Linked DNA regions of Ovis aries. The protein of the gene in region 1 purifies or fractionates together with the protein of each later gene. This does not show direct contact. Links are inferred from orthologs where the notes say so. Each region holds a gene or a part of one and is shown on either strand. Other genes may lie near its edges.

The links. The genes of interacting proteins can lie anywhere in the genome.
Region 2: the proteins of SORBS3 (region 1) and DLG5 purify together in Homo sapiens (co-immunoprecipitation; 3 studies listed by BioGRID and IntAct, with this or other methods). This does not show direct contact. The link is inferred for Ovis aries from reciprocal best matches to the Homo sapiens genes SORBS3 and DLG5.
Region 3: the proteins of SORBS3 (region 1) and WASL purify together in Homo sapiens (co-immunoprecipitation; 3 studies listed by BioGRID and IntAct, with this or other methods). This does not show direct contact. The link is inferred for Ovis aries from reciprocal best matches to the Homo sapiens genes SORBS3 and WASL.

The regions. Positions count from the first base shown.
Region 1 is NC_056055.1:43,071,711-43,075,210, reverse strand, and holds part of SORBS3 (vinexin), read left to right. Parts: intron 1-1,250; coding exon 1,251-1,559; intron 1,560-2,319; coding exon 2,320-2,423; intron 2,424-3,008; coding exon 3,009-3,270; 3' UTR 3,271-3,500. UniProt on the Homo sapiens protein: Vinexin alpha isoform promotes up-regulation of actin stress fiber formation. Vinexin beta isoform plays a role in cell spreading and enhances the activation of JNK/SAPK in response to EGF stimulation by using its third SH3 domain.
Region 2 is NC_056078.1:32,821,739-32,826,027, forward strand, and holds the start of DLG5 (disks large homolog 5), read right to left. Parts: upstream 2,801-4,289; 5' UTR 2,786-2,800; coding exon 2,164-2,785; intron 1-2,163. UniProt on the Homo sapiens protein: Acts as a regulator of the Hippo signaling pathway.
Region 3 is NC_056057.1:89,673,191-89,677,370, reverse strand, and holds the start of WASL (actin nucleation-promoting factor WASL), read left to right. Parts: upstream 1-1,380; 5' UTR 1,381-1,748; coding exon 1,749-1,865; exon of another isoform or gene 1,866-4,180. UniProt on the Homo sapiens protein: Regulates actin polymerization by stimulating the actin-nucleating activity of the Arp2/3 complex. Involved in various processes, such as mitosis and cytokinesis, via its role in the regulation of actin polymerization.

The DNA.
Region 1 (3,500 bases):
GTGGCACGCAGGCTTCTGTACAGCACGTGGGCTCTAGAGCATGTGGGCTCAGTAGTTGTGGCGCTCAGGCTCTCTAGTGTGGCATGGGGCCTTAGTTGCCCCACGGCATGTACGATCTTAGTTCCCTGACCAGGGATTAAACCGAGTCCCCTGTGTTGGTAGGCGGATTCTTAACCACTGGACCATCGAGGAAGTCTCCTTCCCATTTTTATTTGTTTATTTATTTTAATTAATTTATTTGGTTGTCCTGGGTCTTAATTGCAGCATGTGGGATCTCGTTCCCAGACCAGGGACCGAACCTGGGCCCCCTGCATTGGGAGTGCAGAGTCTTAGCTACTGAACCACCAGGGAAGTCCCTGGCCCATTTTTAAAATGTTCAAAACCTCTAGAGTAGTTGTGCTTTTTCTCAAGTTGCAGGTTGGTAAGCTGTGAGGATCACATCAGCATTTTTAAAATAATAGAATGGAAGTCTTAGAATACCTTGCATGTAGAAAGGGTATTTCATCCAACTCTTACACAGGTGTGTGTGTGTGTGTGGGTGTGCTGGATTGATATTACAACATATTCTTTTTACTATAGATAATGGTTCAGAAAGCTTGAAGAATGTTGAGAGTTCCCTGACAGTCCAGTGACTAAGGCTCTGCACTTATAATGCAGGGGACAGAGGTTCCATCCCTGGTCAGGGAATTCAGTTCCCATGTGCAATGCAGTGCAGCCAAAAAATTCAAAAAGAAAGAAAAAAAAGAAAATGGAGTAATGTCCCAGAAAGCAAGGGAACTGGTCTCTCTTGGTTTATTTTGAGGGCAAAGGCCGTGAATGCACCTAGTGAATGTTTCCCTGGAAGAGCTGGCCTAGGGAGAGAGGGGGCAGGAGGTGGCTGGATGGAGAGAGGTGGGAGCAGGAAGGGGCTGGAGACCATCCTTCCTAGGACAGCCCCACTAACAGTAGTCAGTATGTGGGCTTGGGGACACACCAGCTGTCCTCAGGGAGTTTGTTTTTGATGCGGTGATGACCTTCAAGGTGGAGGCAGGAAAGGACCCAGTCATGGCAGTGATGCTAAGACCTGCACGGTGCTCCTTACCAACCTGCCATGGAGCTGTGTGACCTGTATATAACCAGCTGGTCTTCTCCAAGCCTGACCCCTCCATGCAAGGTGTTAGGTTACAATGACTCTGCCCCATGTAGGCACCTGCCTATGCCTGGCAGCCAAGGGCCCTGCAGATACTACCACCCTCCCTCTCTGTGACCAGGGGGAGCGTGTCTGCCTGATCCGCAAGGTGAATGAGCACTGGTACGAGGGCCGCATCTCGGGTACCGGGCGCCAGGGCATCTTCCCCGCCAGCTATGTGCAGGTGACCCGGGAGCCCCGGGTCCGGCTCTGTGATGACGGCCCCCAGCTCCCGGCGTCTCCCCGCCTGCCCACCGCCCGCCTGGTCCATCACCCCAGCTCTCCCTTAACACCGCGCAGCCCAGCTGACCCCACTGACTGGGGGGGCCAGACCTCCCCTCGCCGCACCGGCGTCTCCTTCCCTCCCCAGGAGTCCAGACCCCAGACCCAGGTAAGGTGACCTGCCTGAGACCCGAGAATGAGCCCTGCCCCCTGTGCTGTATTCCCCATTCCCGGGAGGCTCTGCGTTGTGGAATCCCCCGCAACTGCTCAGGATAGTCTAGTGGGGTGACCGAAGAGAACCTTGCGTTGCAGTCCTTGAGGACCCCAGACCCTGGAGCTGCAGCCCAGGGAGGCAGGGGTCTCTAGGTGGGACCTCCCAAACCAGCACAGGCCTCCTGACCTTCCAGAGTCCACTCTTGGGATTTATCTGTATCAGCGTCTTGGAACAGGGTGTGCTGGGAGTCGGGGTATCTGCCATTCACCTGCTGTGTGACCTTGGGCAGATCTCTGTGGGTTTGAGTTTCCTCGCTTGTAGAATGGGGATAGCGAATCCCACTGCAGAGGGTGGTTGGTAGGAAGTAGCTGATGGGCAATGATGGCCATTGGTCGTCATGCTGACATTGACCACAGACAAGGGCATGTGCTCTTGTGTTCATCCCCCACTCAGCAAATGGTTACGGGGAGACAGAGCCCATGCCCAGGACACCTCCTGCTCCCAGCTCTGTGCACACGTGCAGATCAGCCACCTCCCCTACCTGGGCCCGACTTCCCAGCACCTGTGAGGTCACAGTCAGACAGGTCTCCCTGTCCTATGGGGACTGCGAGATAGATGAGGCAGTGTGGGATGCTGTTCCTGGGGAGAGGGGCAGGCCTGTTCACACCTCCTTCCTCATGCTTGCTTGTGCCCGCCTGCCCTCCTATGGACCCAGAGTCTCAGCACCCCCGGATCAGCTCTGTCCCATCCTGGAGGCTCCAGCCATCCCCAGGACCTGGGGACCTTGTCCTCCACCACCTCCGAGATACACTGGACCCCGTGAGTACCATCTGGGATGCTTCGTCGGCGTTGGGGACTACCCTGCAGGCAGTGCTGAACACACATTAATTTACCCCTCCCTACCCAGGATGGAGTTGGGAAATTTCTCCTAAGGAGTGCTTGTCCTCATAGTGTTTATGGGTGATTTTGGTGGGGTGTGTGTGGGGCGGGGGGTGCGGGAGTGGGAGGACACTTGTCTGCAGTGTTCCTGACCTGTCCCTCCTAGCTCTGGGCCTGAGAACAAGCCTCCCACACTGGGCACCCCTCCCCTCCGTCTCTCACTGAGTTTCCAGGGCTGAGGTCAGCATGGGTGTGTGCGCAAAGTGGAGCACAGATTTGAAGGCATTGAGAGCTCAGGGGAGGTGGAGTGTGGGTGAGTAGGGCTTGGAGAGGTGGGAGCATGCCTCAGATAGAGGCACTGAAGCCAGAAAGAATCGCCATGCCCAGAGCTGGGCCAGGGACTCATGGGAGCATGGAGGGACCTGGGAAGTTCCAAGAATGTGTCCACCTTGGTTCGGGACTATCCAGGCCTGGTCTTGGGAGGGGCTAGGGTCCTGGTGGTTGCTATGGCAGTGTTTCCTGCAGGTACCGGGCGATGTACCAGTACAGGCCCCAGAATGAGGACGAGCTGGAACTGCGGGAGGGGGACCGGGTGGACGTTATGCAGCAGTGTGACGACGGCTGGTTTGTGGGTAGGTGGGCCTGGCGGGCAGGCTGTGGGCAGGTGCATCTCAGAGTTCTAGGGGACTGGGCTGGGGGACAGGCCAGAAAGGGTATCTCAGAGTCCCGGGAGGAGGGGCTGGGGGAGAGGCCAGAAAGGTTATTTCAGGATCCTATGGAGATCTGAGTGGCTGCTCCTGCCTGCCAGGACTGGTTCAGCAAAGATTCATGGGCTGACCACCTCCCACCCTTCCAGCCCAGCACTGGCTACTTTCCCAAAGCCAGCACTCTGTTCTCATTCCCTGAAGAAGGGTGAGGCCTGGGAGGAAACCAGACTAGCTCAGGGTCATTGTTGAAGCCAGTGGGACTCAGGGCAGCAGGGTTCCCAACCCCCAGGCCTCTGTTCCTTCCATCATA
Region 2 (4,289 bases), on another chromosome or scaffold:
GCTCTGCGGTTTATGTTACACCATGTCATCCCTCACCCCCAAAAGCTCTACATGGCATCTTACCAGGTCAAATGCCATCCTGTTTTTTTCTAAACTATTAACTAAAATTGGGCTTCCCTTGTGGCTCAGTCAGTAAAGAGACCGCCTGCAATGCAGGAGTCCCAGGTCGATCCCTGAGTCGGGAAGATCACCTGGAGGAAGAAATGGCAACCCACTCCAATATTCTTGCTCGGGAAATCCCATGGACAGGGGGAGCCTGGTGGGCTGGTGGGTTACAGTCCATGGGGTCGCAAGAGTCGGACACGACTTAGCGAACAACAACCAAACCAAAATGAACAACTTTCTTTTGAAAAGCTACTACACAGCTCTACACTGTGTTAAAACTAGGGTCTGAAAAGCTGCCCTTGAGAATAAAATCCAAACCTTATTCCATTCTTTCCTTAGAAGTCAGACCAGCTTCCAGAACTTCAGCTCGGAGAAGCCCCACCTTTATCCACCAGGCATGGAAAAGAGAGGGACCTAATTAATGACAATTCATCTATTCCAGAGATTAAAGCTAGCACTGATTCAACACATCCCACCCAGAACTTGAGGCTGCATTCTTTCACCAGCTTCCAGCTTCCTTGATCAATTTCTTCCTTCAAACACAGACAGCTAGACAGACAGCAAGCAATTAAAAAGATACTATGTATAAAATAGGTAAATAACTGGAGAACCTGCTGTGTAACACAGGGAATTCTACACAATGCTTTGTTGTGACCTAAATGGGAAGGAAATGTACAAAAGAGGGGCTATAGGATATACCCTTAGCTGACTCACTCAGTAAAGTGAGAAACTAACAGCAGAAACTACTACATTGCACTCCAATGAAAAAATTAATTTTAAAAAAAGAAAAGAATAAAAAGTTAGCCCAAAGAGATTTCCCTCTGACCTTATTATCCTCATAGCCACATCCAACAGCTCTTCTTAACATCTTCCAAACCATCATCCCAGGAGAGGACTAGGTTGACCAGCATAAATGATCGTAATTGGGGGACAATGCAGATTTGAGAGACGAAAATGCTAGAGTCAGAAACCCACAGTAGAGACAGAGGGCCACCAATGAAACGATCTGCTGTGTAGCCAGCAGTTCGGTCTCTGTATGTCAGCTGCCTTCACTACAAAAAGTTGGTTGAGATGGCCAATATCCAACGGAGCTGTTACCAGGAACAGCTTATAAAATCATCTTAATAACTCAGGCTTTTAACAGCCAAATAAACGGGTCTCATCAGCCTGTGGCCTACAAGCTGTTACAGGCAGTTTGTCAGCCCTCTCCATTCACTTTAAAACAAAGACAAGACACAGAAAAGGTGGCACTTGCTGCTTCCTGGCTCCAAAGGGGTTAAATAAAACAATGGGTCATAATTGGAAACTCCTGGTGCCCAATACTTTGAGCGACTTAACCAGTCCAAGCTGGAGTTTTCTCTCTGGAAAAGTAGGAATCACAGCTCACAGAGTGGTAACAATTAAACGTGACAAAGCAGAGTGCCTGTCACAACAGTAGGTGCCCAACAATTGCGGGCTCTTCCTTCCTCAGAGCTATGCTTTCCTCAGCTTCCCTGTCTAAAAGCCTGGCTTTCCACAATCCCCAAACAGGCCACGCCAAGCCTACCAGTTGTCACCAACTCTCAGTAATACCCACCTACACACACACACACACACACACACACACACACACACACACATACACAGGAATACTCAAGGATTCATCACCCACCATCCAAGGGTACCAGCCACCAGCCTTCCCTCTTCAAACAGCTAGCGCACCCTCAGGGAAAGACCTGAGCCCCAGCAGCTACTACTAAGATTTTCCCATGGTGCAATGCAACTCCCCCCAACTTTTCCCGGCCCAGTTTCCAAAGAAACCTAGCAGGCATTGTGCACAGTCAACCACAAGTCTCGCCGAGCAAAACAGACTTGAGCTCAGAGCAGAGGGAGCTAAGAAAATCAGAAAGTGAAAAGGCACGAGCGGTCCTGAAACCGGGTGCCAGGGACCAAAATTCAGGAGTACCAGCCCTGGCCCGGGTTCTATTCTTTTAGACCTTAACATTGACTGAAGGCTAGCAGAGGTTCTCAAAGGACTGGTGGATGAAGAGTCTTAGAAAAGGGACTGACTAGACATACCTCCGAGGTCGCCCCGCAGGCTGGACCCGGTGGTCTCTAGTGGACCCCGCTGCGTGCCGCGGCACCTGGAGAATGAAGGCCTACAGTGCCGGGCATTGTTCACAGCAAGGGCGGGATTGCAGGAGGTGGGAAGCGGGGGACGGTGGGGGGGTGGTCCACGCACCAGCCCCTCCCCCGGCGGGCTGAAGGAAAGCAAATTTTCCGCGCGGCCAGCGCCAGGTAGATGAATGGCCCTCGCGACCTCCCCTCTCGGAGAACCGGAGAGAGGAGTTGCGGAAGGCGGATGCGAGGGGCCGGGCAGAGGGGTCTGACACTCACCGGCGCCCTCGGCGGGCTGCGGCGGCCCGACGACGCCGTTCAGGTAGAGGATGGGCAGCAGGTGAGGCTGCGTCTTCTCCAGCGCCGCCCGCAGGTCGTGGAAGTGGTCCCGCTCCTTGGCCAGCAGCAGCTTGAGCAGCAGCTCCGCCTTGGCGCCTCCCGCCTCCTCGTCCAGCTGCCGCCGCTCGCCGGGGCTCAGCGCTCCCGCGGCCTCGAGCAGCCCGAGCACGGCCTCCACCTCCGTCATGGCCTGGGCCAGGCTCTGCTGACACTGGGCGAGCAGCTCCCGGCGCTGGGGCTCCATGGTGGCGGCCGCCCCGCCCCGCCCGGCCGGACGGCTCCCGGGCTCCCCGAGGCCGGCGGGCGCGCGCGCGCAGGCGGGGAAGCGGGCGGGCGGGCGGCGTCGGGACCCGGGCGCCTCGGGGCGGCGAGCGCTGGCGGTCGCCCTAGCGCGCCGGGAGCCGCGAGGCCGCGGGGGCCATGCGCCGGGGCCTGGGCGGGCTGGGGGCCCGGGCGGCGAGAGCGCTCAGCAGCGGCCGCCTCCCGGGCTCAGGAGCGCAGCCATGTTGGCGGCGGCGGCGGCGGGACTGGAAGAGGAGGAGGAGGAGGAGGAGACGGAGGAGGAGAAGGAGGAGGCGGAGGTGGGGACGGCGGCCGGGGCGCGCCCCGAGGCCCGGCTCCAGCCGGGCATGCTCCCCCTCCCTCCCCCCCCCTCGGTGCGCGCCGCTCTCTCGCCGGCCCCGCGAGGAAAAACTCGCCCCGAAACGCCGCCCCCCGGACGCAATCACAGCTGCGAGAGGACAAGCGGCGCGGTCGTGCTCGCCAGGCCCCCTCGACGGCTCAGGGCCCGCCCCGGCGCGGCCCGCTCCGTGCGCCCCGGCGCGGCTCACCGGGGCCCCGCGGCCGCCGCCCGCTCCGCCAGGCCCGCGCCCCGCCGCCGCCGGTCTGTCCCTCCGCCCCCCTCTTCTCTCCCCTCCCTTCCCGCGGCCGGCCTTTCAGGAGCCCGGGCGGCCGGCCCCGAGGGGATGGGCGAAGGGGAGGGGTCCCCACCTCCCCGCCCCGAGCCCGCCTGGGAGGCGGGGACACCGCGCGCGCTGGCCCTCCGGGTCTCCGAGGCCCAGGCTCCACCCGCGGTAGAGTTCGCGGAGTTAGGGGCCGGGTGGGAAGCAGCCCGCCCCCTCAGCTAGGCACATGGCCAGCCCCCAAGCTATTGGAGACCCGCTTCAAACAAAGCCCTGCCCCCCGGTCTAGCGTTTTCTAATCTGAAATACTCCACAATCAAGCCTGGAGACAACTGAGGGCATGTCCCCTAAACTTGGCCACCTCCAAATTTAGACCTCCCCCAAATCTGTGAGCTATCCCCACTCACTGTAAGGAGCTCTTATATAGAAAATGATGGTGGTTTAGTCGCTAAGTCGTGTCCGACTCTTGCGACCCCGTGGACTGTAGCTCGCCAGGCTCCTCTGTCCCTGGGATTCTCCAGGCAAGAATACAGTCCCAGGGACAGAGGAGCCTGGCGGGTACTCTTGCCTGGAAAATCCCAGGGACAGAGGAGCCTGGCGGGCTACAGTGCATTGGTAGGCAGATTCTTTACCGACTGAGCTGGGAGGGAAGCCCTATATAGAAAATATCCCAGCGTTATCCCCTGAGACCGAGTTAATCAGGATTTATGCCTCACCCGCATTTTAGATGGTTGGTCCCCAGTGTCTAAAGAAGCGGGATGTTGGAGCAAGAGATGGAGGGATGGGTTGCTGGAAGAACAAGAGAGCGGTGGGGTGTGCTGTGGAGCCACCGCGTCTCTTTGGCAA
Region 3 (4,180 bases), on another chromosome or scaffold:
CTTTCCAAACCTATTTTACAAAAAGTCTGCCTGCTTTCTCAAAATCACTTTTTTTTCCTAACACTGTAAACCAAGGTAACTTTGACATATCCATATTTTATGTGAGGACTCACAGAACTATGATTACATTTTCCTTTTAGATTTATTTCCACTCAGTTAATTTCATTAAGGCAGCCTTCATTTTTTAATAATTTTTTTAAAGAGTATTGATAATGGCTTAACAATCTGTTTAGTACACCCAAGATTTGTACTGGGAGCTTTCAGAAATATTAAAATCAAATAGTTTTACCAGCTTTCATTTGTTAAAGGATAGATGTCTTGAGTTTAACATGTTTTTTGTTTAAAAATAAACAAATACGATGGTAACGATTATACAATAAATGCTAATTTGTTTAAAGTGGAGATGTTTATTCTATAATTCAGGGCAGTGTGTATTATTTATCATCTCCATATTACCAAACTTCGTTTTAAGCCAGCTGTCTAGTGTTTAACCTACTGAGCAAAGGGAGTTACTCTAGTTTCCAATATTGAATATAAATTTTTAAAAGATTCCTGAGATTTCGGATTAAGTTAGATGTATTTTTCTGAGTGACATCTCTAAATGGGTACATTCATTTTGGATAAAAAGTAAACAAGGCCTTTGGTGTTTGAGAAGAAGAAAAACACGAGGAGGGGAAAAGGAAATATTTTTCAATTCATAAAACATCAGGGAAATGTGTGGAGGACCCATAGAGAAACGAACCCAAACTGCAATATTACAAATACATGTATCCTTTTGAGAAATACCACCGGGCAGTAGAAACCTTTTCTAAGTGCCTTTGCTTTTTAGGAACGTCCATCAGCAAGGTCTCTTCCACAATCCTGGCAGAGGCCTGTTCATCCATTTCCACTGTTGAAGTTGGGACAGTGTCTGAGAAACCGCAGGCACCTGCGGCTCTGAGCGAACTGGCGAGGAACACAGGGAAGGGCGTCCCTTCTCTCATTTTCCGTCTCCAGCTTCCAGAATTTTCTGACAGGAGCTCGAAAATCTTTTTTCTCGTGTCTCAGAAAAAAGCTACTTCGGGGACGGGTCTGCAATGACGCTCCGCAAAGGTGTGCGTCTCAGAAGAGGGGATGACAGCTCGCTGGCGGAGACGAGCCACCTCCTCTCTTCAAGCCTCTGTAGAGGACGACTATCCGAGGAACCAGTTCGGACGCCAAACGCTGCGACGGTCCCACAACCCCGCGTCACACCGCAGAGCGCCCGTAGCCCGCGCCTCAGCCGGAAGTGGGCGTGGCCTCGGGCCGGCTAGGCGAAGCCAGGCGCGGCGTGGGGAGGTGGGGTTCCTCCCGGGCCCGGCCCGCAGCCGCGCGTTTCCGGCGCGCTCCCCCGCGTCTCGCGTCCTGTGGTCTCGCCCGTACCCCGCTGCCATGTTGGATTGTGAGGCCGTTGCCGCCGCCGCCGCCGCCGCCGCCACTGCCGCCGAAGGAAGGTTGGGGGAGGAGTTGGGAGTTTAGCGCAGTCGCCGGAGTGCGAGGACAACGACCATCCGGCCAGAGCCTACCCCGGCGGGAACGGGGAGCTTCCCTTTCTCACAGCGGCCCGCCGTCGGCTCCTCCTTCCGTGGCCTCCTCCCTGCGCCGGAGGAGCTGCGAGATGCTACGCCTCTGATTCCCCTCCTCCCGCCCCTGTCACCCAGAAGGGGAACGAGCGCTCGCCCACTCGCCCGAGGAGACGGCCCTGGCCTCCCTACCCCGCCGGCGAAACCATGAGCTCCGGCCAGCAGCAGCCGCCGCCGCCGCGGAGGGTCACCAACGTGGGGTCCCTGCTGCTCACCCCTCAGGAGAACGAGTCCCTCTTCACCTTCCTCGGCAAGAAATGTGTGGTCAGTGTGTGAGACCCGCATCGCCGCCCCCGACCTTAGCCTCCCGGGCCCGGGAGGGAGCGCCGGGAGGTGGGAGTGGGGAAGGAGGCGGGAGCGGCGCGGGGAGAATCGGACTGCTGGCCAGGCCTTTCTCTGACCCGGCTCCCTGGGTGCGGGCAGTGCGGGCCGGAGGCCGCCTCTCGGACCTGCCCAGGGAGCAGGGAAGTGTCAGGTCCGCAGGCCTGTTCTGGAGCCCTGCTCGCTCGGACCCGGGTCCGTGCCTCTGCTGCTGGTTCAGACTTTACTGTCAGGCCTCGCGGGGATATTTTTATAGGAGCTGCCTGATCGTAGTAACTGGGCTCCTGGACTGGCTCTCGCTTCTCCTCCTACGACCCCGATGTGGGGGTACTTTCCTTCACAATGCCATTGGTTTCAGGAGTGGGTGTGGGTCGGGGACCGAAACTCAGATATGAATGAATCGGGCCGTAAGGTCGTCTTTTATTCTCCCTTGAGGATCTCAGGAAGGAATGAAGTCGAGTCCATCGGTTTAGAACGGGGGGCAGGTAATGCTGCTGCTCCCCACTGCAGAGAAACGAGGTTTATTTCTCCAGCAGTCTCTCTCAGGCCTGGTTTCTCTCCTCTCCACTGTTTTTGTTGTTGTTTGTTTGCATTGGTCGGAGATGCTGCTCTCCCAGAACCAAGCTCAGGGGAACCGCGATCTCCAGCAGTTCTTGCCTTTTGGGATCTGAGAATGGGTCTTACTTAGGTCGGTGCTGTGCGGCCTGTTCCAACTCCAGATGGCTGGTTGGAGCCAGCAGCTCTGCTGTGGGAAGGGGAATGTGTTGTTGACGGAAGCATTCATTACATTGGCTGCTGGCGCTTCTGGGGGTGGGGAGGTTGTGCTCTGTGGGGTAGGCCTTGTCAGCCTGCATCTTACTGGGGTGGCCGAGTTGAGCTGTGGTTGAGATTGTTGAAACGCTGTTCAGTTCCCTTTCTCCCCTCTTTACTGGTTAACACCTGCAGAGTCTGTGCCACTGGCACCCCGGAACCACCGAGGGAAATGTCAACAGAGCTGTACCTTTTACAGCTTTCCTTCTAATGTTAAATGTGTCACCCAGACTGCACCTGCTTGTTTAAGAAGTTAGGATTAGACAAGTTCTGGGAAGTTACTAGATTAATTGTTAACTTTCTAGGAGTTTACCCATTGTATCCTGTTCCACCTGGTAGGAGATTGAATCATTACGTTACGTGCAGATGTGTTTCGTATTTCAAAAGTTAGACCTGATCAGAATAAAAAAAGGTGCGTTAGAATCAGGATTTGGGAAAACAGCTTTGAAGACAGTCAAGCCCCCTCTTCACTCTCCCCACACAGTTTTTAAACAAACAAGATAACTGAGCCGGTGAGCCCTCTGTCTCACAGCAATTTAGTAATGTAACCGGAACTAGAAAAGCAGGACTCCTCATGCCTGTTGTGTTGTACTTTCCACTACATCATGTTGTTTTAGAAGTTTTTTTCTTACTTGTTATTTATTTAAAAGTAGTGTTAAAGAAATAATCACTTTTTTTTTTCATCAGAAGCTGATACAATTAAGGTGTAAGATTCTTAAAGCAGCCCTAATTTGTGCATATTTTCAATTTAGGAAAATCTCCAGCCATTTGAATGTGACATTATCTGCAAATGAAAAGTTTTTTAAAAAAATTTTCTGGTACACTACTTATGTTATATAATCTGTCTCAGAAAAGGAAGTAATTGTACTATGTGTTACATACCAGACACATTAGGCAGGGAGGGACATTACATTTATACACAAGCATACTGACTAATTGCTCTGCATTTCCTATAATGTTTACTGGTGTCAAAGAAATGACAGACATGTAAGAATACAGCGATAGATAAAGAATGGATTTCTGTCATTTAGAACCACACTGTTGGAGTTACCTGCTCTTGCTGTATGAAATGGTTGCAAAGATTAATATTTGAAGTCTCCAATTATTAGACAGTAAAGAATGAGATCTTAATTTCTGGAACAGTTCCCCCCCCCCCCCTTTGCTGACCATGCAGTATTTTGTACATTATTGAAATATTTTATCTCATTAAAAAAAAAATCATGCAATGAGATTTACAGGTCAGACCAAATTTGTTAAGCAAGAAGTGCATTCAGAGCTTTAAGAATTATCAAGAAAATGAAGCTGGAGTAGTTACAGTCGTAGCTCTCAAGGAGTTTCATTCCTTCTTTCACTCAGCAAAGTAGTATTGAGTAGCAAAGAGTCGGACACAACTGGGCAACTTCACTTCCTTTCTATAGTTCCTTTTGGAGAAGGAAATGGCAACCCAC